Linked DNA regions of Saccharomyces cerevisiae S288C. Changing the gene in region 2 together with the main gene of any one other region gives a genetic interaction. Each region holds a gene or a part of one and is shown on either strand. Other genes may lie near its edges. The genes, in order: ULP1, SLX1, COQ10 and SMT1.

Region 1 (8,931 bases), on a different chromosome or scaffold from region 2:
AGGGAACAAGCGGCGCTAGTAGCTCTGGTCGTAGAACGAAATTCCACTTCGATCGTTTTGTACAAATGGTTCTGTTCATTGCCGCTAATCCCAATTATTGCTGTTCAGTAGCCAGTATCCCGAAATCTGGTGTCACGCCAGATTTAAAAAGAGCAGATATTCTTGAACAGAAGATCAAAAGCTTAAATAGTGCGCTGAGTCCAAAATTGAAGGAAGAAAGTCGTCTTGGTGGGCCTTTGCATAACCCCTCTATTCTACCAGCCCCATCTTTTTCATCACTACCAATATCATCCAATGGAAAGAAATCTTTAGCAGGATATAGACCTAAAAGTAGGAAGAAACAAACTATACTCCCCAACGGTCAACCAAAAGAGTGCGCCACTTGTGGTGACACCTGGACTTCTCAGTGGAGAAGTGGACCTAATGGAAATGTTGAGCTATGTAGTCGATGTGGCATAGCATATAGGAAAAAAATGGAGAAAAAAATACGATCGCAACAATCCTCCGATGATGGTACTAAAAATTTTATATTTAAAAATAAATAGTTAAGTAGTTTGTAAAGATGGTATATTCAGCGGATTCTTCCTCTATTTTTATGTTTTTTGAGATATTTCGAGCTTTCTATTTTTTTAAAATGCCTGAATTTCCATCTTCAAAAAAAACATAAAAAAGGTACTTTACCACCAAATAAATGATAACCACAATTTACTTTACTTATCCTCCACTATCAAGTATCTTCCTACCAGGAAAAATGAATTTCAAATGATTCGAAATTTACGGAGGCTCAATATAGAGATAGTGTGACGATGTTCATAAGGGCTTTACCGCTTAGCACGTATCTACAGTTTTCACTCAATAATATATTCTCTAGGAATGATTGCCAATAGATTGATATCCAAGAGAAGGTTCAATTAAGGAATTTCATTTCGTTCTAATCTTTTGTTGAAAATAAAAATTTTTACTTATATGTTAAAGCTTAAGATTCCACATAAGGTCGAAGACAATCGTCACTAATGTGTGGTTCTGCCTGCTCATCTCTAAAATATATTACTTTTTGTACAGACATCTAAATTGAGCTGGTGCTTATGCTATTCTTATGATTTATTTTCAAGTGGTTTATTGAACTTTATTCCATATCCAATGATCTGAATATTTCTACTTATGTATAATAATTGTATATTATAAAAGAATAACTATTTTAAAGCGTCGGTTAAAATCAAATGGGCAATAAATCTTCTCATCCTAATCGCATCTTTATAATCAAAATCCAATGGCGCATCTGCACTTCCATAGAGAGTATTCATACAAACATATATTCCACAGTCGTAGCCATTTGGTTGCTGCGGACAATCTAAATGAATCAAATCAAAGTCTTCTCCTATTGTATGCTTACTTTCCTCCATAACATATTTTTGCAAGTCAGTCAGTATAGCGAAACTCATAGCATTTGGACCATTCGATAATGAATCTACGTAACCTATAGTTTTCTTTTTTAAATCAATTATGCCCAACGCCCAGTGGGATTGGTTCAAATTTATTGGTGTAAAGATTTTATCAAGTTTATCAATTTGTGTCTTCTTTCTCTTCATCCACCTCCGGACGCCTTGATAACCCCTTTCTGATAAATTGGTATAGAAAAATGAATTAAACGCCACTGTATTAGGGGTAGATTTTTCAATGTATTTCATAAAAAACTCAATGATAGTGTCATTTAGCCATCTTCGTGGTGCCAAGGTCTTAAAATCACGTACTGTTATCTCTATATTATCTCTATTCATTAACTGAGTATTTTCTCTAGATGCCAAAGCTTTTTGTACTTGGTCATCGTCTTTTTCATTTAATTCAGGAACAAGTTTCTTCTTGGCCAATTGTTCTTTCTTTTTTTTAAGATCTTCTTGAATCTTCTTTCTTTCATTTAAAATTTCGTTATATCTTTTGAAGTCTTTCTCAAACTCTAATATAGATCTATCAAACTTCAACTTTTGATTTAAGTAATCCTTATGTTTCCTTTCCAAAGAAGATATCTTTTTTTCTTTAACAAATACTAAATCATCATCATTTTCATTTCTTGTCTGTAGTCTGTTCTTGTTGTTCTCAATTAAAATTGTTTTGATCTTTTCAGTTAAGTCGATTATAGACTTTTTTAAGCCAGTGTCTTTTTCCTTATCCATATCCATTAATTTTAACTGTCTTTCTCTTTCTTCTTTTAATATTTTTGGAACTTTATATTCTCCGTTGAATATTTGTCGTAAATATGTTACTTCCTCAGATTGTGCTCTCGACACCAGTTTAGTATTGTTAATGTTCTGTTTTGCAACTTTTTTCTTTCTAATAAAGGCTGTCCCATACTGTCGCCTGTCGTAGCTATTTTTCTGATCAGAAGTGTTATTTTCTGAGTTAGAACCAATAGCACTTGTTTTCCACTTATTCCAACCAAAAGGATCTCTCGAAAAAGTTATGCTATTGTCACTATCACAATTGCTTTTTTGAGAAGCCAAAGAGCTGATTGGTGAGGTTGAAGGTGTCCCCACACCTTCACTTTCGATTCTTCTCCTTTTATTTGGTAAGGCCCACGTCGACGTATCGAATTTGTGTTTTCTTGTATCCGAGGAATAATTTTCACGTAGACCATATGGTACGTCACTGCTCCTACTTCCAGAACTTCTGCTCTCAACGTCGCTGTTACCACTTGCTTCTACTTCAGAACCATCAAAATTGCGAGGTTCGTTTTTCACAAATGTGTGCCATAAGTACTTACCTGAGTTCCAAAGAGTTTCTCTTATGCCTCCTATAAAACCAGCTTTACTAGCTCTATCTGACCCATCTTTCATTGATTCTTCCATTGATAAAACACGGCGGTCGTTTAAATAATTGAATCTTGACGTATTGGTTCTTTTTTTATAAATACCACTAAAACTGGCTGATCTTCTAGACTCGGAGGGATTGTTCAATACCCGAGGATAACACCTATATGTAGAAATTGGGGAGAATAAAGGGGAGTAAGGGTTCTTTTTATGATACTGTAGTGTGTTCCGGTGCTTATCTACTTCAACTGACATTATTATGATATCCAAAGGTCAGAGGAAGAAGAGGAAAAAAACTGAAACAGAAGTAGATATTGATGAATAATTTTAATTAGCAATATAGATTTGCGGAGCTGAAACGAACGTTTCAGCTATTTTTTGATCTGGGTTTAACTATCACACACATCTTCTCATTATGTGCATTTTGAATTTTGAAAATAAAAAGAGGCGGCGCCGGCACCTGCTGAAAGCTGTTTAATATGATTTAATACGGAAGAGCAAATATGTATAAATAGAGAACAATTAATTAATTATGATAGTAACTGGTACTTGTGTAATATATGTGTATATAAAAAATATACATGTTCTTATTCCCCAACCAAATTGAAGATAAAATCTTGAATTGGTTTTAGTGTACGGGGTAACGAAGGCTGGGAGGAAACGTTTACTAATCCTCTTTCCCTCCTAGCGGCCTCTTTAAAAGCCACACTAAAGTTAACAACCAAGGTAACGATTAATACAACTGCAACCAAAATAGGTCCCACAGGTGCATCCAAATGCTTACCACTTCTACCTTTAATAAGAGTTAATCTTTTTAAGTAGGTTCTATAAGCCCATACTCCGCAAAACAAAGTCAAAAAGAAATATACATAGGCCAACAGATCAGCTAGTTGTGGAAATTCGGCTTTTTGCACTGAATTATAGATAGAAAAGGTCAATACACTCAGCAATGTGGTTACACTTAACCATCTATTGAATGTACGTTCATTGGCGAGCCAAACTTTTGCCTCAACTTTGACAGGACCGGCATTTTTCAAAAGGTGAACTGGTTTTTTAACTCCCGGAGGTAATTGGAAAGAAGAGGCACTGTCTGTATCGTCGGAGTATGGATCATTTCCATTTTCTGAAATATTTTTTCCAGCAAGAATTTTCAAGAAAGCTGCATTCGTTTTGAATTTCTTCCCTTTTTTGACTGCAGATTTCTTGGGCAATGCAGTACCTTCTTCATCTGATGATTCGTGATCTTCTAAATCTGCAATAACGTGGCGAGTATTCTGATCTTTTTGCCCTTGTCTTTCAGTGGTCTTTCCATCTGGTACAGAGATTTTGGATAACCTTCTCATATTATCAAGTTTATCATGAATGCTCTTTTGTTTTTGTAAAGTTTTCTTCTCTTCTTCGTAAGCCTCCTGAGGGTTCTTTCTGATGTCGGTTTCTAAATCGGGCAACCAGAATGGCAAAATGTTGACATATTTATCGTCTTCACCAAACAGTGAAGCCACACCTTGCAAGTACAAAGAAAATTTTGGAACTTCGTTAACTAAATGTGAATTAGTTAAATCTTTAATCCACTCATAATTAGGCATTTGAGAATTATCTTGGTTTATAACCTTAATCTCCATTACAGAATAGGGGAACTTCGAATATTCTCCTGCTCTTAAAAACCTCAATGGGTTGGGAATATTGGAATCAATATCGTCACGGTGCCAATTCTCAGGGTTCCTAATGGGCCTATTTTTGTCCAAAGAATCCTCTCTAATGTACATGATATTGGAATCGATAGTGACTCTAATACTTTGATCTCCAGGAATTTGGAAAGCAGTTCTATTATAGGTAGCTCTCAAAACTGGCTGCAACTTCTCCTCAACAATAAAGTTTTGGATGTTATCAAAGTCTCTAGAAAGTTTTTCCAGTTCCTCCTTTTGAGTACCCCTTTCTCTTAGTTGATTAATTAAATAGTTTTTGTAACTGGGATCATTTTTAAAAATAAAATTGTTGATGAATTTGGCTTTCATTTGCAATCTGATTTCTTCAAAACTTGAATTACCAGTTTCGGTATTTTCTGTAAAAGTTCTCTTTTCCAAAAATATGTCAGGTTTGTCTAGCAGTTTACCGATCCATCTTAATCTCAGCGTAGGTGCACCGCTGATTTTCAACAATCTGTTATTGTACAAATCAAAAAAATCGTTGTCGAAATATAATGTAGTGATTGTTGGATCATATGACTGTGGGAAAATAACGCTCTTTGATTTTCCAATTTCAACATCTTGGTTGCTATTACCATCACTAGAAAGGCTGTTACTCTTTGAACCAATATTCAAGCGCGCTTCAGGTTGTACGCGGACATCTGATTCTAGATTATCGACGAAATCGTCATTTTCATTTGGAACCGACGCATAAACCAAAGCAGGTAGATGCCTTAAGATTCTAGCCTTAACCTCCATTATATTATCATCATGAACCCAAAACTTGTAGCTTTTAAAACTTGCGTCTTCAAGGTTAGAAAAATGTGATAATTTAGAAGTACTTGCTAATGATTTAGACACCGTATTTGGATGATCATAATTTGATCTCAAGAACTCGTACAGATATGAGATCCTATACAACAAGGGAGAATACTCTTCTGAATTGTTGAAAGGAAGTTCTTTCAATCTGACTTGTAAAAGAGACTTTACAGAAGGATAGTTTGGATGTAATTTATCGTGTTTCTTCACAATCTTGATAAACCCAGTAAAATTTAACCTGTCAAAGTTATCCAATCTTTGAGCCTCATCTAGACATTCTTCTAAGGTGTTTTTGAACTGCTCAGAATTTATTTTTTGGATTTTTTCAGCTGATTTAGTGTTTTCCTCTAAATCATCTAATTTTCGCAAGACAGCATTATATTTGGAAATTTGAAATGTGTAAACCTTTTCTAGTTCTTTATCCAAGGCCTCCACAAAATCAGATTCATTCCTTTCGGACCAACTATCCACGGAACTACGGCCATCATGTATGACGCTTTCCTTTAGTAATTTCTTCAACCTTTCATAGTCGATATATGAATCCTTCCAGGGAGGATATACGTCGTTAGCCAGTTTAATACCAAATAGCATTTTCAAACTCTGAAAACCAAGGACAAATTCTGCTGTTCGCTCTAATAGCCAAATGACCTATAGTGATAATAAAAAAAGCGCTAAGGAGGTACTACTTGGATTAGATCACTCTTATGCGTATTATTACCCGCCAATGGGCCCTCTCGATATTGAGAAGATGAAGTAAGTTCGAGAAAAGATGTCTGATGTAAGCCGCTCTCTGGCCTCTATTTAAAAGTTCTTCCTGGATGAAACCCACTCGAAAGTTGGGTGTGTGCGTGTGTGTATGTTTCCACGTTTCTGCCTTGTGCTTTCAAAATCGCATGCACGTGCTTGCGACTGCACTGTGTTGTATTAAGCCACGTGGGCCCTCGCACATTGAAAAAAAGAAAAGCTGTACAGGGAAAAATGTGCCAAGAAGTCCAAATACCAATAGCTGTGCAAGTTACTCATTAACATCCAAACCGTGAAGGTCACGGCATATATACTCTGGCGTTCTACTATGTGGCCGGTAATGTAACCGGTAATGGTGACTATCTAATAGTTGGAGTCCGCCGAAAAATCAGAAACGCGTAATTTAGACTTATATAAACAGCTATATACCTTGGAGCTAGTGTGATCTTGTTGATACTAGGTCGGCAAAGAACGCAAATATGGATTTTACGTCTGATACGACGAATTCGCACGACACATCGAATTCGCATTTAAGTCTGGAAGACGCTGTGGGTACACATCATGCTGGTGAAGCAGATGTAAACATTGATGGGGACGAGAAGCAACAACTATCGCTATTAGATGATGATCAGGTACGCGCACTGAAGCTACAGGAGGAGAAGGATGCGCTGTTGACAAGGAGAAATACTCTTTTACAAGAGATCCAGACGTACCAAAATATCTTGATGAAGGAAAATAACAGTAAGACTAAAAATGGTGATATCCTCCAAAACGATATCACACAGGATTTTCTTAATCTAATCTCGATCTCATCCTCTAATCCTAATTCGGCGATAAGTGACCGCAAGCGGGTCGAGAGGATCAATGGGCTAACTAACTTGCAGAAGGAACTAGTAACAAAATACGACACGTTACCTTTGTTAAATATGAATCTACGGCTAAGTTATTTGAGAGACCACACATACCCGCATCTTCAAGTTTCTGTGCAATCAAGAGACAGAGTACATAACGATGGGATTGAAGTTTTGGTGGTCAATTATAAATTCTGCAGAAACACGATGAATCCTTTTGAAATTCAGTTCAAAATGTTCTATAAATTTGAAGATTCCACACTGCTGAAGTGGGAAATCTTGCGAATTTCCACAAACGTTAGACTGAAGGCCAAGCAATTACTGGCAACACGTAACTTCCAGAAGTGTCTATTAAGCCTTTATGAGTTTGATAAGATCAAGTCCAAAAAAACTGGAATTTTCCAAAATTTGATTAATTTATTGAAAAGGAAAACCAGGTGTTATCTAATGAATAATAGTGACTCATTAATTGTGGAAAGAGTTATTAGAGAAGGAAGACTCACGACGATAAAATTGCAGATAAATTTCATCATTACAATGCCCGGTGAGAGAGGCAAACCTCGTAACTGTTTTCTGCCCATGAGTAAAATTTCAATAGCGCTATGGAAGGGGGGAGAAAGATTTAACCAGATAGATTTGGACGAGATATGCTACGGACTTATCAAGGAATATGGTGTGAAAACCGGGTTAAAGGAGATCTGCAACGTTTGCCTATTCCCGGACATGTACGCCAGGTGATGTTCCATTTGCCATTGCCAACTGGACGGCTTGCTTAAACGATTCCGATAAGCTCGGATGAGGGAACGGTACTTTACAGACATCATGGGCGGTAAGGCCAAGCGACACCGCCATCGATGCTTGCGACAGCAATTCATTTGCATCGTCGTTTATCATATGAACGCCTAGTATTTTCATGTCACGAGAATCTATCAGAACTTTAATGAAAGGAGAAACTGTAGTATTCTCTTCCCGTGGTAATAACGTGTTATATCTAACGTTCTGTGAGAACAAAACCCTGCCTTTTTGATATGGGATGCGAGCCTTTGCCAACCCCTCCTCAGTGTATCCGACCCAGCCAATCTGAGGCTGACAGTACAGCACATTTGGTGGGAAGCCACAATTCGAGGTTCCGTCGGAGCCTGTACAGCCTATTGATTGAATGGCCCTTATAGCTTGTTCTTCCGCTTTCAGCGCCAGCATGGGGCCCAATGTAACGTCTCCTATGGGTTTAATATGAGGGTACTTTAGCAGACTTTGGGTTTGTACGTCAACATTTTCTACAAAATCCCGTTCGTCTAGACCAATGCTGGAAATATCTAAACCTTTTAGCAGGGGACGTCTACCAATAGAAACCATCAAGACGTCGCAATGATGTACATATGTTTTCTTTGACACCTTGTTAAGCAAGGTGATGTTCAGCTGACCGGCAGCATCGGCTTCCGCGAGCTGCACTCTAGTGTCTAAAAGAAAAGCTATACCCTGACACTGCAAGAGGGTCTTCGTGGCAGAAGCCAACTCATTGTCCATATTTTGACAGATCTCGCTTTGAGATTCAACGATAGTAACCCGAGAGCCCAAATTATTGAATATGCATGCGATTTCTAGTCCAATTGTACCTCCTCCCATGATAGTAAAACGTGAAGGTATATAATCCAGTGACAATGCCTTATCAGATGAAATTATCTTGTCATTATCTATTGCAACACCAGGACACTGAATAACCGCAGATCCGGTCGCCACAACAATATATTTCGCCTCTACGATGAACGGTTTCATGCCGCGCTGCGCAATCTCAACGTGGTGAGGATCTTTGAAAGCAGCCGTGCCTTTATACACAGTAACATTATTTTTAGATAGCTCACGTTTATACACATTGCCCAACTCTTCTATATTATGTTTGAGTGCACTCTGGGCCGCCTGCATATCGAATTTTGCAGGAAACAGCCGCGTGCCACGTTGCTCGATAAGTTCTTGCTGTTGTAGCAGCCGATAAAGATAAGACTCATATAACAAGGTCTTGGACGGGAC
Region 2 (8,072 bases):
TTACTTGTTAGTCGTTCTCATGACGAGCAAGGCAAAAGCACTCGTCCTCAGCTAAGTCGTATGGTATGACTGGCAGCGTGAATGGCACGGCCACATGGGTGGGATTACCCGCGCAGCCTCTACGGTCACGTGTAAAAGTACGGCACGTGACCTTCCTGGTATTTGCTAACCTGCGACTATGGTAAAGCACTCCTGCTTCATAATTGCGTGGTTTTCTTGAAACGGTGCCCCATGCTGTTTGGCTGAGGTTTGCCGAAGTATAAAGGCACCATTCTAGTTCTTTAAATACCTGCGATGCATCACAGGGCCCTGCGGAGTTTGTTGCACAATGCATGTAAAACTTAGAGTGCGCGGGCGTCGTCCCTCGTCTTCTAGTAACCATAGCAGGGTCTTGCTTGTAAAATACTTTGAACTTGTTTCGCAGCATTTCGTAGTAGCTCTTTTTCTGAAGATATTGAAAATGAAACCACCCGGAACTGGACCACTTTAAGGGACTGGTGACAAACTCTTGTTCGGTGGGGAAAATAATGTACGGCTTGATTTTTCTCTGCGAATATTCATTAATCAATGAATTCGTTGGCAGTATTTCTGCTTTCTTCCTCCCAGCGGTGTCCTTTGCTGGAGGGGACATGATTCCGGTAAACAGAGGAATCATTAGATGTGTCCATAAGTTTTCGTCTCGCGCTCTTGATAGAGATGTCCCTATGGATGAAGTTTGACATAGATAATGTTTTGCAGTATCACTAGCACTTGTGCCAGCAGAAAGTTTTTCTAGTTTATTGTAAAACGACAGTAAACCCGACGACTGAAATTTGGAGGGCGTAGAATATACAAATTCTAATTCGCTCAAAGGAGCAAAGTTAACTTCCTCTACGCTTTTTGTAATCAATTCGTCAATGTCTTTCAGGTGGTACGAATTGAGGTATTCTATCAAGCTTCTCTTAAACGGTACTGGTAGCCCTTCTTTACCTATTTTCAAAAGGGGACTGCACCAACACACCTGTTGAGGCAGGTTAGTCTCCATTGACGTAAAATTGTTAGATGGCAAGAATATTTTGCATTCGCCATTATCGTAAAAGTTTATGATCAGCTTCGTATGGTGGGAAGCGAATGGGGGCATCGTTATTTCAATAAGTTTGACCTTTTTTAATATTACTGCCAGTGTCGCGTCCATAGCACGGGCTTCGATAGGCATAATAGTACCCTTTTGGCCGACGATGGTTATGTTCTCTACGTTCTGGTGGAATTGTCTCAACAAGAAATCAAGTTCGTATTGGAAACTGAAGAGTATGCTTCTTTTTAGTGTCTCAGTGCCAAAGATATCTTTCAATGTAATCATATCCTCTACTTCTCCCATAAAATCCTCTCTTTCATAGAAGTCCGATTTCATTAGTTTAAAAACGGCACCTTTTGCCGTATCGTTTGTTTCTATTCTCTCACTCAAATCTTGTTCCTGATTAGTCAAATCAATGATTTTCGATTCACTGACTATGACGCAGTCGTCGCTATCATTGTTACTGTTGACCGGAGCCATATTCTCCATTTCAGCACTATACCTGACGCTCTTCCACCGTTGTGCTACTTTCTCGGCAACATCCGACCTCTTCCTCTTAGTTCCATTGAAATTTGTTTCTCGTGACATTAATGATCGGTTGAAAACACATTATCATCATTCTTGTCTGGGCTCACCGTTTCTCTGCATTATTTTCCTCTTTATAAGCCCTTTATTAAATTACCATTTTCGCAGTTTAGTGCGGCCGCCGAAAATACATCAGAAGGGATCCATACCAACACTTACCAAGAACGCTGAAACACGTTGTTCACATCACCTGAAACAAGCAGCAGCTACTGGAGAAGTGTGTAAAGTAGTAGTAATTATTAAAGGACACATATTGAAGGATTGTTCAATTTTCTTTTTTATTATTTTTCCCCTCATTTATCCACTTTTTATAAACTGCTCAAGTAAATACAATGGGCTCCAATAAGGAAGCAAAAAACATTGATAGTAAGAATGATAGGGGGTTAACCAGTATAACCAGTAACAAAATTTCCAACTTAAAAGCACATGATAACCATACAAGTTCAATGATTACTGAACATAAAAATGCTGACAAAGAAAAGGGGAAACAAGAAAAAGAGAGTAGAAATGGAACCACGCAATCAAGTAGTTCAGTAGAATCACACTCACCACAAGTAAGCCATCATTCAGATAAGCTCTCGTCCTTTGATTCGCCCTTACATTTGCCAAACTTTAGACTGGCGGATGACTTGTTCTCAAACTCGTCAAGACGATCATCTGACTCCGCTGCCTCATCCTCAGTATCCAAACTGAAGTCCGCTCAGCTTTCCAAAATAGGTCTACATCATCATCATACAAGTAATAATAAACATAGTCATAGAAGCGGAACTCCGACTTCCGAAGTGAAAGCTAATTACTCACCAGACCCTTCTGCACCGCGATTCATTGTATCCAATATGGTCGGCAATGGCCGGGGAGGTGGTGGTCTACACGGTGCAACTTCGAACGTTGTCAAGAAACTCCATTCTAGAAAAAAATGGGACTGGAACACTTTACCGGCATCAGATTCTTCTCTTCTAATCAAAACCGTTTCAGGAAATCATAATTTAATCAACATTTGCATAGACGGTGAATTCAAACAAATAATGTACGACCCGAATCATAATGAGCTCTTTAATAGAATGGACTTGTTTCTATCTTTTAACATGGACTCCTCGCCAGAAGACTCTTTAATATTTGCCAAGAAAAGATTACGGTCGTACATTGATTTCCTAACAAAATATTTGGAATCTAGGAAATATGCATTTGAATGTTATCCATTTAACATTGAAAACATCATAAATATAGAGACTGAGGTTAAATGCTTTCCATCGTTTGACCCGTTAAAAGATTATTCTGAAATTGAATCCTTGATTCAATTATGGTTGGCTCAATCTCAAAAATTTTTACTGCAATCAAATTCATTCTTCTTTTCATCTGAAGTAGTGGAGGAACTAATAAAAAGAAAACCAACCACAAGACAACATTCTAATCCAACAATCAGCACCACCAGCAACAAGATCAGTGACCCTACATTATATATTCAGCAGTTAGATATAGAAGCAAACTCTCCAAGGCCAGTAATATCGGATCCATTAGACGAAATTGACATCTTATTAATAAGACCGCTGCATAAAACCCTGGGCGGTTGGCAGCTGGCGTATGATGAACCAAGCTTGAACATCGCAGATTTCGCATTAGATTTATCTCCCTGGATGATTGACAGCAGTGACAATGACGCTCAGAATAAGAATGCTAGTGAAATTGCTCCTGAGTATTTAACAAACTTACAAAATTATTTGCCACGAAAGGGTTCAAGAGCGAAAATAGTTTCTGACGAACAAGAAGTTATCGAATTGAATTCTTCCAATGCTTCAGAGTATATGTATGATTGCATGAATAGAAAGTTCTTTACAGATGATGCAAAAGAACGTATTTCTAGAAACAACTTCAATCAGGGAGTTGAGGAAGACCCTCTAAACGACCAATTCGCTTCAAGTAGATCTTTATCATTGCCGTCCTCGGGAGCAGATGCTGTCAAAAGGAAGAAGAGCCCTACCAAGGCTACTAAAAAATCTGGTTTCGTCAACTTTTTCAAGAGAAAGCATTCTCAACTTGCATCAACTTCACATACTACAAGCCCTTCAGTTTCACCTAGCATATCTTCTTCTTCTTCTCCAAAAATTCAACCACAGTCACATATCTCTAGTCCCCCTCGGACAGAGAAAGCTCCCCATGTCAAATCAGCCAACCAAGCACATCAAAATGAATGGTTGGAGAATTTTTTTTGCCGGACTTTGAACAACTACAAAGAAATCGATTTACCGACCCAATTTATTTTGCCAAAGGAAGTGAAGAGGTCCTCTAATGCACAACTTCAGCCTGAAGATGAACCACCTTTGTCATCACCAATATCCTCTAATTCGGATAACTCCTTTCCAAATGAAGGACTTGACAGGGCAAAAAGCGCAGCTATTTATGGTAAAGAATATTTAAAATTAAGACTGCCGTTTGCATCAGACACTATACCTGCTGTAATATGCCCGTGGGTCTGGACAAGTTTAAGTTATTATAAATGGAAAGCTCTACTTAGGGAAATATACAGATCAATAATTCCTGGCGGGTACGCGCTGGCAATTGTTCCAGATTTAAGGATTTCAAACACATACTATACTGGAATTCTTGGCAACGCCGATGCCGAAAAAGCAAATAATTCATCAGAAGAGTTTTTGACTACAAAAGAACGGGACAAGACATTTGATGCTATGGCTATTGATGCGATAAATAAAGGCTTACATATCCATCCTACAAAACACTTAACGAGGACATTCAAGGATGTAGGGTTTACAGGCATCAAGTCCTCGGTCCTAAGTTTGAAAACTGGTGACTTCAAAACAGATATGGGCTTTTTGAATGAATTTAATTCTTTAGATATGTGGGACTACATGTTAAGGAGGCAACTACCAGATAGTAGTTGTCCTCCAAAGGATACCGACCCCACCACTCTTTTCAAAAGATATGTGGAAGAACACATAGGAAAAATCGATGACAACGCTGGCTGCTTTAGAACTTTGTATGTGGTGGCGCAAAAGCCAAAGCTGCCATATACCAAATAATTGTGCCGCCGTTCCAATTTTTTTTTAAATTGTTCAAGAATTACTTCAATTTTTACTACTGGACAAAAAGCATTATGATAAGGAGTAGTCTCCCAGTATCGTAGAACCAATTTGAAACACTTTAGCCAATATTTATTAATTTTTTTTACTTCCCATGGCATAGTACTTTGTAGGAAGATTATTTGTTCATTTACTACATTTATTACATCTATATTTATATATTCTATACCATTCATTTTTTTTTATGTTAAGCTTCTCTTGGGAATTGTTGGGGTATGAATGTTAGCAGAATGACCCAACTCTTTTTCTAGCATAACTCCTAATTTTTTATCTTCTTCAGAAACGTCACGAATTAAACTGTCCTTTTCATCACCAGAATAGTATTTTACGTCCACTTGGGAAGCCAAAGAGTGCTCTGTTTCCTGTAACGAGTCGACAGTAGCTTCGTCGATTAAAACGTATGCTATGTTAGAACCCGGGCAATCATAATTAACGTTTAGCAGAAGTCTTTCCATTATCCCTCTCAACCCTCTGGCGCCAGTTCCTTCCTTGAGAGCAAATTGAGCAACTTTCTTTAGCGCCTTTTGTGTAACACACAATCTTACCCCAAATTGCTTAAAAATATATTCATATTGATCCAATAAGGCATTTTTAGGTTCTTTTAATATATGAAATAAATCGTCTCTTTGTAGAGGCTGCAGAGCAGTTATAATTGGGACTCTGCCAATTAATTCAGGAATTAGACCAAAGCTAACTAAATCTGTGGGGGTGGTCAAGTCTAAAGCACACACTTTTTTTCCGTTATCTAATTCAACCTGCTCAAGCGTATTGCTAAATCTGAACTTCTTCGCTCTTTCTTTTTCAACTTCTTTACTATTCGATGATTCAACAGACTCTCCTGCCTTCTGTATTTTCTTCATATCTTCTATCCTTTTAACAATATGCTTATCTAAACCAACAAAAGCTCCCATAATCATGAAAAGAATATTTGAAGTGTCTACAACAAATACTTCGTCCTTCTTTGTTGTAGTTTGATTTTTTTGTCCGTCAATATCATGCTTAACAGGCCTTTTAACGGTAATTTCCACTTTATGGCCCTCAATGATTTTCAATAATGACTGTTGAACCCCTTCTCCGGACACGTCTTTAGTGCCAATGCTTGCGGCAGGCTTGGCTAGTTTATCAATCTCATCAAGAACAATAATACCTTTTTCTGCTCTCGCAACATCAAATTCAGCATTTACGAGCAATCTTTCAATGCATACTTCAACATCTTCACCTATGTAACCTGCTTGAGTCAATTGTGTACAATCTGTAATTGCAATTGGAACGTTTAATATTTTCGCCAATGTTGTTGCCAACAAAGTCTTACCAGAACCTGAGGGACCAACGACAAGGACATTACTTTTGCTTAACTCTAAATCTTCGTCAACCTCTCTACCTGCTAAATTAAACTGTCTTTGAAGATTCCTCCAACCAGCCTTTGATTCGCTGTTTCCACTGAAAATTGGTTCATCCCTATCATCCGCGATTTTCTCTCGTTCCATCAATTCTCTCTGCCTTTGTAATTCCCCTTTCTTTTGCTTGTCATTGATTCTTAAATAGTGATTATAAACTGCCACGCTTAAAACCTTCTTACCAATCTCTTGACCAACAATGTACTCATCGAGGAATTTCTTCAATGCTTTTGGAGTGGGTATATTCGATAAACGAGACTGTGCCAGTTTCCCTGATGCTGTAGCAGCATATCGACCAATTCTACTAGAATAAGCTCTAAAAAAGTTTTGGCTTGCAGATTTCAACATGAGTGTGAAATGTAATTAGAGTGCCTTGTCTTCTATGGTTTTGTTTGATGAGCCGTTTGCTTTTCTTTTTAATTTTAATATATACCACTGATGACTTATTCCCTTCTATCATCGAAAAAATATTGTCAAATTAATGTTCTCTTTTTTCAAAAAATATTAAAAAGATAAGAAAGGTACCATGTCGCAGAAAATACAGCAGCATCAGTTTCCTGATTTTTATTGTTGTTATCTACTACAATCGATTAACAAGAGGCAATCATTTTACGTTGGATCAACTCCTAACCCAGTACGACGTTTGAGGCAGCATAATGGGAAATTGGCTGTTGGAGGGGCATATCGAACCAAACGTGACGGTTCAAGGCCCTGGGAAATGATAATGATTGTGCGGGGCTTCCCAAGTAAGATAGCAGCTTTACAGTTTGAACATGCATGGCAACATGGGTACCAAACGCATTATATTGCCGAAAAAGATCGTGTTGTAAAGCATAAAGCAGGTGGAAGAACTTTACATCACAAAGTTGCATTAATGAAGTTACTTTTAAAGCATGAATTTTTTCAAAGGATGAACTTGATAGTCGAGGTTTTTAATATAAAGGCTTGGGAGGTTTGGAAACAGGACAAATTTTTTATTGAAAGAGACAGATTTCCGATTAATATACAAATAAATGAAAATGCGCTTGAAGAACCAAAGGAGAAAACTGTGGATGTTCTCATGGATCATAGTGATGAGAATTTAAAAGTGGTGGAAGCTGTATACACTAAAGTCATTGAAAATGAAAGAAACATATTCGAAACTTTCGAAAAGAAACTAACTACAGGGGTAGTGCGATGTGAAATTTGTGAGAAAGAAATTGACTACACGTCTGAAGAGCAAAATCTGAAGCCGTTTGTAGCGCTTTGCAATAATAAAGACTGTGGGTGTGTTAACCACTTGAAATGTCTTCACAGGTACTTTCTAGATGATGAACAGTTGATGGTAGGGAGAAGAAATTTGATACCTCGAGGTGGGAAATGTCCGAAATGTGATATGTTTTGCGACTGGACGACCCTAGTCAAGTTTTCGACAAGAATGAAGTTAGCTCACGGGAAGTAGGGCCTGACACAATTTTCGGTTCTTTTTTTTCTATAGATAATGGTTATATGTTATATTTACGGATATTTTTACGTTTACTTTGTAAGAAAGAGCTAAAAAGATGTAAAGATATCACTTCGTTTTTTTCCCTCAAAAAATAACTTCCCAATCTTCAGTTATGTCAAGCGATAGGTTAAGAATGGTGATCTTATTATCATTCTCATATGACGATCTAGTCGGCAATGAACTTTCTTCGCCATTTTTTTTGACTTTAATACTGTCTTTCAACGTTATGTTGTGTTGTAAATTATTCTTTGCGATAATGATTTTTTCAATATTGGTATTCCTCAAAGTATTGTGGTGAATGCCTGTCAAATTCTCGGGAATATGACTTCGAACATTTTTTAAGGTATTGTTTTCGAAAATGAACTGAGTTTCTACGTACTCACCTCTTTGGTAGCCAAAAGTTTCTCCATCATCAACATAAAGATCTCCAACGGCTCGTCCCTCGGTATCAGGGG
Region 3 (6,058 bases), on a different chromosome or scaffold from region 2:
AAGTCATCAATTTGAACGCAACGGTTTTTGAATTTAATCCCTTTGAAATGGGATCCTGGGATCCCTCTTTGAACTCTTTTGCCAACGTTAAGTACCTTGGAACGAATGTCTCCAATGGTGTACCATTGGAAAGGGGAAAATGTACCGCAGGCTTTGATAATGCAGGTTTTATCATGGGTACTTCCTCCACCTTATTTAACCAGTTTCTTTTGAGAATAAACTCCACTCACTTACCTAGTTTCATCACAAGATTAGCAAGACATTTTCTAAAGGATTTATCTCAAGATTTTAATGATATCGCTGTTTACAGTCCTAATCCATTTAAAGACACGAAGTTTTTGGATAGTGACTATACGACAAGTATTGTTGATTCAGACAGCCTATTCTTAGTTGACGGCGGTGAAGACGACGAAAATGTTCCTGTGTTACCGCTTATACAAAAGGAACGTGATGTGGACATTATTTTTGCGGTAGATAATTCTGCCGATATGAGATTGGCTTGGCCTGACGGTTCTTCTTTAGTCCATACCTATGAGCGTCAATTCGTTAAGCAAGGTCAAGGTATGTCCTTCCCATATGTTCCAGATACGAATACATTCGTTAATTTGGGTTTGAACAAGAAACCAACCTTCTTCGGTTGCGATGCTAATAATTTGACCGATCTTCAATATATTCCACCTCTAGTTGTTTATCTGCCAAATGCAGAATACTCTTTCAATAGTAATCAGAGCGCGTTCAAGCTATCATATTCCGAATCCCAAAGAAGAAGTATGATTCAAAACGGGTTTGAAATTGCAACTAGGAACAACTTCACTGATGATCCTGAATTCATGGGCTGCGTCGGCTGCGCCATCATTAGACGTAAGCAACAAGCTTTGAATATTACTTTGCCTCCGGAATGTGAAACCTGTTTTAAAAATTATTGCTGGAATGGTACCCTGGATACTACCCCATTACCAGATGTTGAAAAGGATGTTCACCACTCCTTTATCAACGTCAATAGCTTCAACAGCTCCATAGGACAAGAAGAAAGTCTTTACGCCGGATCTTCAGCTTCCCAGTCATCGTCTTCATCATCGTCTTCATCTTCGTCTTCGGAAATTCCTTCGGCTACTGCAACCCTTGAGAAAAAGGCAGCTACTAATTCTGGATCACATTTATCTGGCATAAGTGTAAAGTTCTCTGCTATGATTATGCTTACTTTATTGATGTTTACCGGAGCAGTATAATATCTCTTGCGTAATAACGGTATACAAAATGAGGCAATAAAAATCAAAGAACTACACTATAAAATAACGAAACATAAAGCTGAAAGACTAGCAAAATCACTAAAAAACTAAAATAAAAAAAGAAAATGAGCATTTCCCCTTTGCATTGAAGTATCATCCCTTTCGGGCAAGACCATGTTTAAGGAACTTCACTAATGACATCGGAGGTCTATATATAGCAGACCTCTTCTTTAAAAGATATAACTTTATAATTATAACCCCGCGCAAAGCGTATTAATACTTTAAATGGGTAGTCAAGTTGCTTTTATTACTTGCACTTACTTTGAAGGAGGATGTCAGAATTACCCTCGCCATATTGGTAATGTAATTTTTCACGGACTCGAGATTGAAAAAATTTCAGAAAAATTTGCAAAAAAGTGCCGATGAGATGAGCCTTCATAAGCTACGTATGTTGTAAGGGTATAACATCTGTCAAGCTTCACCATTGTCAACACTTTTCCACTAGGATAATCCTCCAAAAGTATAGCAATGTCATCTTCCGCCCCCAAATACACCACTTTCCAAGGGTCACAAAATTTTAGGTTACGGATCGTCTTGGCAACATTATCAGGGAAACCAATAAAAATTGAAAAAATCCGTTCAGGCGACTTAAATCCCGGTCTGAAAGATTATGAAGTGTCTTTTCTAAGGCTGATCGAGTCGGTCACCAACGGGAGTGTAATTGAAATTTCTTATACCGGTACTACTGTGATTTATAGGCCCGGTATCATAGTTGGTGGTGCATCAACTCATATCTGCCCTAGTTCCAAACCGGTAGGTTATTTCGTCGAACCAATGCTATATTTGGCTCCATTTTCAAAAAAGAAATTTTCTATATTATTCAAAGGCATAACTGCATCTCACAACGATGCCGGTATTGAAGCTATCAAATGGGGACTCATGCCCGTTATGGAAAAATTTGGCGTTAGAGAGTGCGCCCTACATACTTTGAAAAGAGGTTCACCACCACTAGGAGGTGGCGAAGTGCATTTGGTTGTTGATTCTTTGATTGCGCAACCTATAACTATGCATGAAATAGATAGGCCCATAATTTCATCGATTACCGGTGTAGCATACTCTACCAGAGTAAGTCCGTCGCTTGTGAATAGAATGATCGATGGTGCTAAGAAGGTATTGAAAAATCTGCAATGCGAAGTTAACATAACGGCAGATGTCTGGAGAGGTGAAAATTCAGGGAAGAGTCCAGGCTGGGGTATTACTTTGGTTGCTCAGTCCAAGCAGAAAGGTTGGAGTTATTTTGCAGAAGATATCGGTGATGCAGGTTCTATACCTGAAGAACTTGGTGAAAAAGTTGCCTGTCAATTATTAGAAGAAATATCAAAGAGTGCAGCAGTTGGTAGAAACCAGCTTCCATTAGCAATTGTTTACATGGTCATCGGGAAAGAAGATATCGGCAGATTGAGAATTAATAAGGAACAGATAGACGAAAGATTCATAATCCTCTTGAGAGATATTAAGAAGATCTTTAATACTGAAGTCTTTTTAAAACCAGTTGACGAGGCGGATAATGAAGACATGATAGCTACTATCAAGGGTATTGGTTTCACAAACACAAGCAAAAAGATTGCATAGCATGTTCTAATATTATTCAATAGATATTAGACCACTGTATATAAGTTATATATATATATATGATTATTTAGGTGTAACTTCACGGACAACTGTCTAGAGTATAAGATTACTGGAGGATCATTGATGATTTCCTTTAACTCTTTTGGGTCATCTAAAATATCATCAAAGAGCGTATGCGAAAAGCGCGTTAAGAATAGATTACTTCATGACAAAATATAATTTTCCAGCTCAAAAATGTTTGTTTTTTTATGTAGACACTATTTTCAAACTATCTTTGTTAAATTACTCATCACCATCGTTGAAATCCAGATTAATCCAACTTGGCCATGCTAACTCCTTTCTTAAAAAATCTTTGAATATCGTAAACAAAAACTGTTCTAGTTCTCCAACACTTCTTAATACTGAGCCCTGTCCCTGATATTGTTCCCCTATTTCGGTTTCAATCTTCATACTTCTCACAATGGATATTCGCTCCAATGGCTTAGTAGCTGCCAGAATTGGCCCCTTAGGATCTAAAACAGTTTGGTTGTCATCCAGTGCAGGATCACTAACATCACACAGAAAGCTAAGAAATAGTTGCTTTGATAAACATGCAACAATGCAAAGGGAATGGAGACCGATATCACTGATAGAAAGTTTTACTGGCAAAGTCATAAATTTTTCTACGGGATAATTCAGCACAAGGTCGGCACCAATCGTAACGAGTAAGTCACCCTTGTACTCGACCTCTAGTAAAAATTGTATATCGTTGGGGGATGGCATCACCACAGGCGCCTCAAAATCATCTTTAGGTCCTTCATGATTAGCTATAGTACGATCAGGACAAATATGTTCGCTGTCCTCCTTGTTGTCATTATTTTCCTCCGTCTCTTGATCAGCCTCCTCTCTAATTGAATCATAAAACTCATCTAGGGGATCTGTTATTTCTTTCAGTGTTATAGCAGGACCAACTTTTCCCAGATCAAAATCTAGTACCCTAAGATTACTTACGTAGCTTGGTAGTTGCGTATTTTGTAAATATGAATTTAAATGTTTTCTTATAAGATCATTCAGTCTATTGTCAGATTCCAATGTACTCCAATTAATATCAAAAGACATTTGGATTAGTTGAAGCCAGCTTATGATCTGTTTCAACCGTTACATAGGATGGCATGCTTTTTCTCATGTTAGAGAAAAATTTAAAGATCGAGTTGTCTGAAAAACCTGAACTATTTAAAACGAATAATAGGATAAGGAGCCAAACAATAAACGGCTAAAGATACCGTGGAGAATGGTTTTGATAATAAGGCCCTCACAGACATTGATATTATTCAGGAAAGCGATGCTCAAGCCAATTGGGAGATATCCTCTTAAAAGAAATTTTTTTGGTTTGAGCGGTACCAATCACACTATTAGGGAACAGCGATATGTTTTGCGCAAGGCCATAAACGCCCCTCCAAGCACAGTCTACGCTGCAGTGTCAGAAGTTGCCCAATATAAGGAATTTATTCCTTATTGTGTTGATTCGTTTGTAGATAAACGAAATCCTGTGGATAACAAGCCTCTCATTGCGGGGCTTCGAGTTGGTTTCAAACAATACGATGAGGAATTTATATGCAATGTTACCTGTAAAGATACTGATCATACGTATACCGTTGTTGCAGAAACAATATCTCATAATTTGTTTCACCTTTTGATTTCGAAATGGACCATAATGCCTCACCCAAATAGACCAAATGCGGCCATGGTAGAACTTCTATTAAGATTTAAATTCAAATCTCGGATATATAACAGTGTCTCTCTAATATTTGCGAAAACTGTGACTGAATTGGTGATGAACGCATTTGCCAAAAGAGCATACCATTTAGTAAGATTAGCAATGCTAAAACCTTCTTCTAAAGAAGGCTCTCCGTGATATCTTCCGTATAATTTCAGATAACAAAGATCATGCCATCCAGGATAAGCGTATGCATGGTTAAATTTTTAGACTATAGAACAAGATTTTTCTGTATAGTTATGTTTATAGTATTTAAGCTTTCTAACAAGCTCCAGTAGGGGCGGAGGATACAAACAAATATATTTTGCTGCAAAATTTCCTGGTCTTCCGTCGCAATCAACAAGTTGATACGCAGATGCACCATTTTATTCATTGGCAAAGTACGATCAGTTTAGTGCTTGTATCTGTATGCGAAAAAAGAATGGTGTACTAAAAACAGCGCATGGTGATGGCGAGGAATTTACACGTATCCTCTCATTAATTGAAGTATTAGGTTTTCGAGTCGCACTTAGTGTAAATGAGGTGTAGAAAGGTGGGGACGCAATTATTCCTTACCGTCGAGCAGTTGATCCAGATGAACACTGGGAGGACGGTACTTCTTTACTTTACCCTGACTAACATTTGATTTTGGAGTAGAGCGGTCTTCAGAGTCGGGACTTAAATTGTATGATGTATAATTGAATGGATTAGTGCTGTCTGTAAACTTTCCCAGTATTTGGGTAGCACCAGGTTCCCTTGGAGTACTGGACAAGGAATCATATATAGCACTCTCATTGCTTTGAGACCATGTATTAGAGTTGTTGGCATCAGATTGCAGAATTTCGGTGGGTGAAATAAACATAGATGATCTGAAGTTATCGTTGGCATCTGTTTTATTGTTCAAAAGATTCAAAACAGAAGTGGATCCTAGAGTATACAAACTCATACGAGATGAGTTATTTTTCAGAACTTTTTCTGATATGTCACTGTCGTCAGAATGGGAAGATGTTTCACTTTCGTCGTCATTAATGTTTGTTTGGAAGTAGAAAGGATCGTGTTGGTATTGATTTTCTAGATTTCTCAGCTTATTTTCCTTTCTAGCACTTCGCCATGACTTTATATTCAATGCAATCCATGCACCCGTCAGTGATAGTAGAATTGCACCTAAACAGCCAGCAAATGCAATGAACACAGTACCGTTAGGATGATGAGCCTGATATAAGAATTTATTTCCGTCCGTAACCGGGATATAAACGCTGGAAGGTGTAATAGATGAAGTTGATATTACACTGTTGTTGCTCCATAAACTAGAGTTGGTGTATAAGCTTGTACTAGCGCTCGTGGTGATTTTGGGCATTTTAGTGCTTGAAGTGACATTATGACTTGACGAAACATCCTTACTGGTTACTGAGCTTTTGCCTAAGGACGTGGTTGTCTTGGCTGAAGAGCTGCCTTTACTAGA
Region 4 (8,594 bases), on a different chromosome or scaffold from region 2:
GTGTAGGCTGGTTATTGATCCCGAAATCGCCCATGGGAGACTCCTCTACCAAGGAATCCACTCTAGTCTGGTCCCGCTGGCTCCTGAGTATACTACTGTTGCTTTTTTTGTGTGTCCTGTATATTGTTGAAGTTTCCCTCCTTAACATCTTCTTCTTGTTATCTTATCTCTTGTTTTTGCTGACTTTTTTCCCTTGTAAATACCTTTATCTGCGATCTTGTTCACCTTCGGTGCGTTGTCTTTTATATAGGCGGATCTGATCGATCTGTATCCCTATTATTGCCATTACCTTCTAGAAACATTTTCGCAGCCCCTTCGTTTCGTACGGTGTTTTCTGAGCCATATAAGTGAAGATACGTGAGAGATAATACAGTTAGATGGTGATTTACCTGAATATAAGGCAAAAATAAGAAATTATTATAGGGTTTATATAAGAGACTATTATTAGATCATGCCAACAAATCACTCAACGTCCTCGATGATTTGTTTTTGTAAAATGTAAAGGCCGTATTCTGTTGGATGGACATTTGTGACATTTTGCTTGGTCAGATTGTTCTTCTTATCTTTCCCGCCATACCCTTCATATGGGCAATCCTTCAAGTATTGACCCAACTTGCTGCCGTCGGTTAATACCACGAACTTCTTTCTGGTGGTTTCGTCAACGAACTTTTTGATTAAATCGTAAACCCAGCCGAAAACGGTGGGGACATTAACAAAATACTTTGCATATAACAGTTCTGGATAGTATTTTTGAAAGATTCCAATGACCGTCTTGCTACAGTTTTTAATGTCAGAATCCATTCGCCACACGGAGACGCCTTTATAATCGTGGACTTGGGTCATATAGTTGTTGTCGGAGCTGGTGAAATCTAATAAGCTCAAACCCTTTTCCATGAGCCCGATTCTGTAGCGTACAAACTTATCCACATTTTGAAACAATTCTTTTTTTTTGACCAGTTGGCCGTATAAGTTCCAAGTGACAGCCTTTTTATTTGCGTCGCCGTTTGCATCGAATGTCAAAATACCAACGTTTTGCAATTCTGTATTATGGACTTCCTTGTAGGCACAACTCAATGGGTTGAATTCCCTCCTCCAATTCAAAATATCGATCAGGTTCTGTACAATGGTGCTATATTCAAATTGATAGGCTTTGCAAAGTTTGTAGGTTAGACGATCGGCGATTTTTTCGTCATAGTATTTATCAACCTCCTCTTGTGTAAGACCTTCAGGATTCAACTTGTAACCATACAATTCATCGTATCCTGCACATTTTTCCTTGATAATACCAGGAATCGCTTTTTTAAGCTTATCGAAAACCTGCTTCTCACTGTCATTGTCGAATTTCATTTTAAGGATGTTAATTTAGTGAATTAATTACGATTGGGATTCTAAGTAGGAAAAAAAAAAGAGGTACAATTGCAATGTACAGCTCGTTTTTCTTGGTGCGATCACTAATTAGTAAAGCGATGGACATAGTTTTTTTTTTTCATTCCGCCCAATTCTAGCCACACCCGAGAATGTAGAAGTGCTAAAATAACCTTGAACTTTCAGATATAGTGATGATAAAGGAAACCAAAAAAAAAGGAATTAAAAAGAAGGATAATGACTATGTGGTAGTATACAAAAGGAAGTGATTACAAATACGGTGTACCGGCATGTTTCAGCAAAAAAAAATATAATTTTTTGTTATTATAACTGCATTTTAATGAAACACATTATAAGTATGATGGGATTAACTATGAAGAGGGTACCGGACCGCCTTTAATGAATATTGAAGAATTGCGGAAAAGCAGTACTATTCTTATTTAGTTTGCTTGGTTCAAAAAGTCTCGCCAAAGATCTAGCCACTTGTTCATAATAGATTCTCGATGTTGACCGGCAGCAATGTAGTTTTGTCTTTCCCAAGGTTTCAGGATTTTAAATTCGATTATCTTATAATTCAATCTATTCGCTGGCACGCTAGCTATGGGAACAGCACAGTATCCAACGCTATCTATATAACTCCATTTATCGCCAAACAATGCTTTCATAATCTGTAAATCGTTCATTTGATGAAACATCGACCTTTTACTTTCACCTTCAAAATCGTTCCCGTAAATAGTAAAGTATTCCTTAATGCACATTGCTACTGCCCTGTTCGGCTTCAGTATAATAATTTGAGGATCGTCATCATAATTTTCAGCGGAAGATTGGTCTTGGTTCACGCTAACGAGATCTTCATTTATATAATTTACCTTATTCGATAACAATACACAAGTTTCGTTATCAATCTCGTCAGATACTTCAGTGCTCTCTAGAAGCTCATCAATATTTTGCAGTACCAGGCATGTAGGGGATAAATAGCAAATCAATTCGAATCGATCAATTAACGAAAAAAAAAGAAATAGCTTGCACCACTTAAAATTCAATTCGCCCTTGGTTTCGGTCGATTGCGAACTTGCGCTAAATCCCGAGCCAGTGCCGAAATTCATGAATAAATTGATATATTCATCTATTATCAGCGTCTTGATTCCTACCTGGGCCAATTGAAAGGCGTTGACTTCACTGGAATGCAATACCCAGAGATTATACTGAGAATTGACATTCTTCAATGACTCGGCCAATACGATGACAGCCTGTAAAGATTCTGCCGATGAATCGTGCAGTATTGTTATCCAAGCCCTGCTCTGATTAAGAAAATCCCCAGGAGAGTTGGTTGGTTCATTGGAAGATGCGCCGGAAAACGAACTTCTTGGGTTCAGTAAATGTCTTATCCACTGAACGTCCTGTATAGAACTACGCCTTGTAGTTAAAGGTGGAACATCCACCGATGGTTGCCTTATTGGTGATGCCCTTTCGCTTGGTTCCGGAGATCCTAGAGTCAAATCGTTAAGGATATCTGAAACAGACTCTCTCGTCTCCTGTCCCAAAGAATAATGATGTTTGAACAGCTGATAATCCTGCTGCTGTTGATCAGATTTTTCGCGTGTTTGAGAAGATCCATAAAGCCTTTGCTGCTGCTGTGTCGACCCTCTCGCAAGTGATGAAAGATTCATTGCATTTCCTTCCATCATCGTTGCTGGTTCAGGGGAGTACCTATCAGTGGGAGTACCTATGGGAGAATTATTAAAATTTAACAGTAATGGATTATCTTGTGACTCGGACCATGACTTTCTCACAGCAGCGGCCAGATCACCGGTGATATCTTCAGATATACTTTCCTGCTGATTATCCATTTTTATTATCAATCGTTTTTTCTTTCTTGCCCTTTTGATAAATAAATAAAATATATTTGAAAAAGATTGATATCAAGAATCCAGATATCTTTGCGTGGTAAAGCGGTGATTCGTGTTGCAATTTCCACCTCTTTTCTTCTCTGCCAATTTTGAACTCGACTGCACAATTCGATTGCTTCAATCATGCTTGTGTTTCTGTCCTGCAGCGCATGGGGAAATTTCCGAAGCAAAGATGGGAACAGTCAAGAGCAAGAGCAACAGCAAAAGTAATAAAAGACAGTAAAAAGCACAATATACTGCTATCGGCCGTACATAGTAAGTTAGATTAGTGAAAGAGAGGCAGCAAAAACTGCTGATAAGTTTTTGCACCGAAATGTGCCGCTAACTGCTTCTTGTTTTGCTGCAAGTTGAGAACCCGTAGTGTCATAGCATATAAATAATCTTGTAAACGTATACTTACATAAAGACATGAGTAGAGAGCGTAATGACACCAACATTTTTCCCCTCAATGAAAGTGTCGAAAATGATGGTCCGATATCAACAGTCATACAATAATGTGACAGCGGTTTTCTGTTTGTGCGAAAAGAAAACAGTAGAATATAAATTGCGTTTCAATATAGATTTACGAACCCTAAACAACAACACGCATAAGTAATTGTGCTGGCTAAAGGGAAATAGTGCGTGCGCTGCCTTTTGTCAATTTTATCTACAGGAATCATTGATTATGAGGAGGACTTTTTCTCAGTTAGCAACCCGACTATTGAAGTCGAAAGATGATGAGCTGAAATCAACTCTAAAATACTTGACCAAAGGTCCAGTGAAGTTGTTGGGGCCTTTGTTTGAATCTTCTGAAGTTAATGAACAAGGTTCCTTATTGAATCGTTCACGCACTAAAGAAAATAATCTTCAAAATCACCATATAGAGAACATCCTGAGAATACTGAATTCAAATCTACCGGAAGTAGAGTCCAAGAAACAAAAAGTAGCTGTTCATTACGATGTGCTTTTCTCACATTTGAACTCAATAGTTACCCAGGCAACGGATAACAAAAGTTCTTCTTCGAAGGAACTACAAGGTTCATCGTCCGAGGATCTATATGATAGGCTGCTGCTTTTGCAGTATGTGGGCAAGTTAACTAATGTGCGTCAAATAACAGAAATTTTGCTCTCAAAAAAGTTCAACAAATTCGATAAAGTATGGGAGCACAGAGCCTTGTTTGACGAATACCAAAGAGTAGTGATATCCATCCTGTTGTATTATAGAACGCACGATGTGCAAATAAGAAAAGACTACGAGCCTCGTTGGTTGTCCGATTACAGTGATCTACCGTTTCCTCTGCGACGTCTTTTGTGGAGATGTCTAACTTCTAACGTATCTGAAGATAATATTCGTCAAAATATAATTCATTACATTAAGCTTTTAGGCGCAAATTGGAGGAATAACGATTTGATTTTAATTTATCAATCTTTGTATGAAAAGTCACATATATTGCCTGATTTAACGGTCCTGAACCACAATAAAGATGATGGTTTCTCTTTCACCCAAAATCAAATCCTGCTTGTTCGTATTTTAAGGGCTATTTCGAAATGCGTTGAAGAGGAACCAAAATTGGTCAAAAAATGGTTAATTGATATCGTAAAATTGAGTATACAAAGCAAAATAATGCTGGAGTCACCGAAGAAACCGTCCACACCAATAATGGACCAATACAAATTTATTAGATCCTTAGATATTTCTATACGGAGTATCCATCGGACGTGCCAGGATAAACTAATCTTTGAAGATTTACAGGTCAACCTTGGAAGTGTATTAAAGATGATTAATGAAGAAGAACACGAGTTAAAAACACACTTACCATTGAACCTCATATAAGAGAGAACACAGAAAAAGCAGGTTAATAATATTCATATGGCGACTCTAAATCAAGAAAAAAATAATCGTTTGTGTTACACCCGAAATATTGAAATTTCTAATCGTATACACAAATTTAAGTATGCAAAACTAAATAGTAATATTGCCCACACAAAACATTCATCAGTTTCCACCAGCAGAAATGCCTTTTTATATATGTAAATGCGAAAAAAAATCACTGACACACACACAAATGCACATTTTTATCTTATGTTACACACAGTTATACGCACATACGCATTCAATCTCTATGTTTCTTTTTCTTATCCTTTTTATCCTTCTTCTCCCTCTTCTCCCTCTTCTCCTTCTTCTTTTTCTTCTTTTCACTAGACTCCTCTTCATCGTCGTGATGTGAACGCTTCTTTGGTTCTTTCTTATTTTCTTTAACTTCCTCAGCCACATGGAAATCTTCGGCATCATAACCAGTAGCAAAATGCTCCAACTTCAAGCCTTCTACTTTTGGAACATCTTTACGTGGAACTCTTACCTTACTGTAATCAATAGCTGGGATTTTAGCGGTTTCGCTGACAGAAAATACCTTGTCAAACTGTAATGGTGCATTATCCTTGGCAGTGCTAGCAATTTTAAGACTTTCCTTACTTTCCGAAGGAACCAATAAAGTCATATTACTGAGGTTATCCTGTGTTAACGAGGACTCAATATCTGTATCGTCCATGATTTTATAATCGTGTTTATCAATTGTCATGGTTGTAGAGGATTCAAAATCTACAGGCAGAGATTTTAACTTGGAGATGTCCACATTTGATGGGAATTTGATCAGCCAAACCTGTTGCTGTTTCGCTTTTTTTTTGTTATCACCGTTGAGAGGGAAATTCTTTAAATGTTTACATTTCTTGAAACCATCTGGTATGCTGAACTCGTTTGATATCACTTCATCATCAGAGTCTGAATCTGATACGTAATCTTTCGAAAGCTTGGACATATCAATTTTTTGTTAATCCCGTTTATTGAATCCTAGCTGCTCACTGCTCACTCGATCACAGACCTATATGATACCGAATACCCTATAACTTGAGCTATTCAATGCTCATCGATAAAATTTTTCATTTCTTTAATTTCATGTTTGAGAAAAAAAGTTTCGCAACACCCAATAACCACACGCTGCCCTAAGAAAAAACTTTCTCAGGCTGAAAAGAAAATTTTTTTTCATTTTCTAGAGCTTTATGGGCAGAAACAAAATGTATAAATACTGGACAACCTTCTGTAAGGTTATAATAATCTCGACATTCGGTTAATAAGAATTCCCCTACATAAGAACAAACAGCAGTGACTGTAATGTAGTAAGAATGAGAGTAATCCTCCTCTTTCGACTTCAGCATTGCACTCCTTCCCATTTGATACATTCAAGTTTGAATAATCTCAAGAGAAATTTCATGACACTTTTTTAAACAGAAAAGAAGAATTGATTGGCCCTGATGATAATGGTGTCTCTTCTTTCCTCGTCCGATTCGACCATGACGACAAGGGATTTTATCTCGTTCTCTTAATGCGAATGATTTTGAAAAGATGTTGCTTCTGTGACATTTTTTTTTAATCATTTGTGTTTGCAAACGGGAACTTTTCTTGCCAGTGTTATACAACACATGCAGATCTGAGCCTTTATTTTTTCTCATGAGATTATCAAATGTGGGTAATTTGAGGAGACAGATAATATATATAATTTATGATCACGGTGATGAAAGACTGGTTCCTTAACATTCGCAGTTTCCACGGTAGGAGTACGCTTACGAACCCATCGTTAGTACTCTCGGTGACCGCTCTTCTTTAGAGACCTTCCTAGGATGTCTGAGTGATCGTATACTGTAGTATCTTGTGTTTACTTTATCAAACCAGCTTACCAACATTGGAATAGTTGGTTGATTTTTTTCTAGCATCCGAATGGATCTTGTATTTCCTTAATATGAAGTAGACCAGTAATCTGAATCCTGCTAGCTTAAAAAATGCGTTGAATATATATTATTAAATATATATATTTGAAGGGGAGTTGATTACATAACAGTGGCTATTCTTGCAATGGTATCAGAATTATTATTGTTGTTGTTGCTGTCGTTCTCCAGATTCTTGTTCGATTCCTTTGACCATCCATACAGATTACTCTTATAATCATAATGATAAAAGACGGGTTCAAAAATACGTTCATTATTCTCCTCCATAACTATTGTGGGAATGTCATTCAACATCAAGAATCTCAAATGAGGAAAACTTTTCAAAAAAGTAACGTAAATCGACTTGAAGTGATGGATAAGAGCGTGATAACACATAATAATATCTCTTTTGGTCAATGATTCATGAGGAAGTTCCAGGTCAGTGGAAATTGTAGCTGCTGTGTCATCACTACTTGGAGGAATGGCCGCATTAATTTCATCATCATCATCATCGTCATCGATTATTATCATTTCGGGCTCGCTCATATGAGCGGTTGATGTGGAAGTCACGGTGGAGTGTTGATGTGGGTTATTAACGATTTTGGGCACCAACTGGGATTTAGAATTTCTATATTCCAAAAGGTTGCGGTTCATCTTGGTCACAAAATTAGTCAAATTCATTGGTTGTGTTCTAACGCTCGGATAAGCATCACAAGCTTTAGAGTATGGTAACAAAGATAGGTATTTCATCATTTTAAAAATATCCTTTGCAGCAATGTCTTGAAGATCGTGAATATAGTAGTCTTCAGGGAACATGAATATTTTGCCCTTCAGAATGTCACTGAATACTATTTGACAGTTTGTGCAGTTGCATTGCTGATTTAGTTGGAACTTATTTTCTTGAATATTGATGATTTGTGGGATAAGACCGTCGTATCTCAGATCTATGAATTGCAATTTGGAGCAAGCTAAAAGAATGGAGAGAAATATGTGAGGATTTGTGGGTTCAGGTACATACTCCTCTAAGAAATCCATTTTTAGTCTTTTCAAATTGGTTAACGAACTAAAAAGATCTACGAGGATATGAACATCCTGCTTAATAGAAATCAAAGACAAATCTTCCAGGTTCTCAAATTCTTTAAAATCTTTCAGCATTTCTGTCTCGCGTTTTAACAAAGTGTCATTCCAAGAAATGATGGTAAGAATTTTCAATGTCCTCTTGTCAAAAACCTCCGATAGTTTAGTCAGAGGATTGCCGGGTCGTATCTTTTTAACAAAATAATCATTATTGTAAAACTCCCTCCTCCAATGCAATTTTAAATCGATGATTTGTAACTTGATATCTAAAGGGTAAAGATAATTGAACAGTTTTAAAGGGTCGATGAATAAAGTCATATGAGAAAGCCGAGAAGAGATACGCTGTGAAAGATATTTGGTGAGATTCGGAATGTAATTTTCGGGAACAACCATCTCAGGCAATGAATTTGGAGGAGCCATGTCGAAACTTGAGACGTTGCTCCTGGAAAAGTGACCATTGGAGATGATATCGTTACAAGCCGGGTCAGTGACGTTTTCTAGTCT

The links.
Region 1: mutations in SLX1 (region 2) and ULP1 together harm fitness more than expected from each alone (negative genetic interaction), as found in Saccharomyces cerevisiae (2 studies listed by BioGRID).
Region 3: mutations in SLX1 (region 2) and COQ10 together harm fitness more than expected from each alone (negative genetic interaction), as found in Saccharomyces cerevisiae (2 studies listed by BioGRID).
Region 4: mutations in SLX1 (region 2) and SMT1 together harm fitness more than expected from each alone (negative genetic interaction), as found in Saccharomyces cerevisiae (2 studies listed by BioGRID).

The regions. Positions count from the first base shown.
Region 1 is NC_001148.4:511,120-520,050, forward strand, and holds ULP1 (SUMO protease ULP1), read right to left. Parts: upstream 3,060-8,931; coding exon 1,194-3,059; downstream 1-1,193. Other genes in the region: ECM23 (Ecm23p), read left to right, coding at 1-545; VTC3 (vacuolar transporter chaperone), read right to left, coding at 3,392-5,899; CTF19 (Ctf19p), read left to right, coding at 6,532-7,641; IRC15 (Irc15p), read right to left, coding at 7,615-8,931. UniProt on the Saccharomyces cerevisiae protein: Protease that catalyzes two essential functions in the SUMO pathway: processing of full-length SMT3 to its mature form and deconjugation of SMT3 from targeted proteins. Has an essential role in the G2/M phase of the cell cycle.
Region 2 is NC_001134.8:668,656-676,727, forward strand, and holds SLX1 (endonuclease), read left to right. Parts: upstream 1-6,657; coding exon 6,658-7,572; downstream 7,573-8,072. Other genes in the region: TDP1 (tyrosyl-DNA phosphodiesterase 1), read right to left, coding at 8-1,642; YBR225W (uncharacterized protein), read left to right, coding at 1,972-4,674; MCX1 (Mcx1p), read right to left, coding at 4,917-6,479; glucan 1,3-alpha-glucosidase ROT2, read right to left, coding at 7,702-8,072. UniProt on the Saccharomyces cerevisiae protein: Catalytic subunit of the SLX1-SLX4 structure-specific endonuclease that resolves DNA secondary structures generated during DNA repair and recombination.
Region 3 is NC_001147.6:306,181-312,238, forward strand, and holds COQ10 (ubiquinone-binding protein COQ10), read left to right. Parts: upstream 1-4,131; coding exon 4,132-4,755; downstream 4,756-6,058. Other genes in the region: PLB3 (lysophospholipase), read left to right, coding at 1-1,229; RCL1 (rRNA-processing endoribonuclease), read left to right, coding at 1,758-2,861; ERMES complex subunit MDM12, read right to left, coding at 3,144-3,959; CSI2 (Csi2p), read right to left, coding at 5,162-6,058. UniProt on the Saccharomyces cerevisiae protein: Required for the function of coenzyme Q in the respiratory chain. May serve as a chaperone or may be involved in the transport of Q6 from its site of synthesis to the catalytic sites of the respiratory complexes.
Region 4 is NC_001142.9:137,913-146,506, reverse strand, and holds SMT1 (Smt1p), read left to right. Parts: upstream 1-3,939; coding exon 3,940-5,088; downstream 5,089-8,594. Other genes in the region: ROQ1 (Roq1p), read right to left, coding at 1-148; SFH5 (Sfh5p), read right to left, coding at 463-1,347; IDS2 (Ids2p), read right to left, coding at 1,806-3,215; DNA-directed RNA polymerase I subunit RPA34, read right to left, coding at 5,369-6,070; SCF ubiquitin ligase complex subunit DAS1, read right to left, coding at 7,137-8,594. UniProt on the Saccharomyces cerevisiae protein: Component of MIOREX complexes, large expressome-like assemblies of ribosomes with factors involved in all the steps of post-transcriptional gene expression.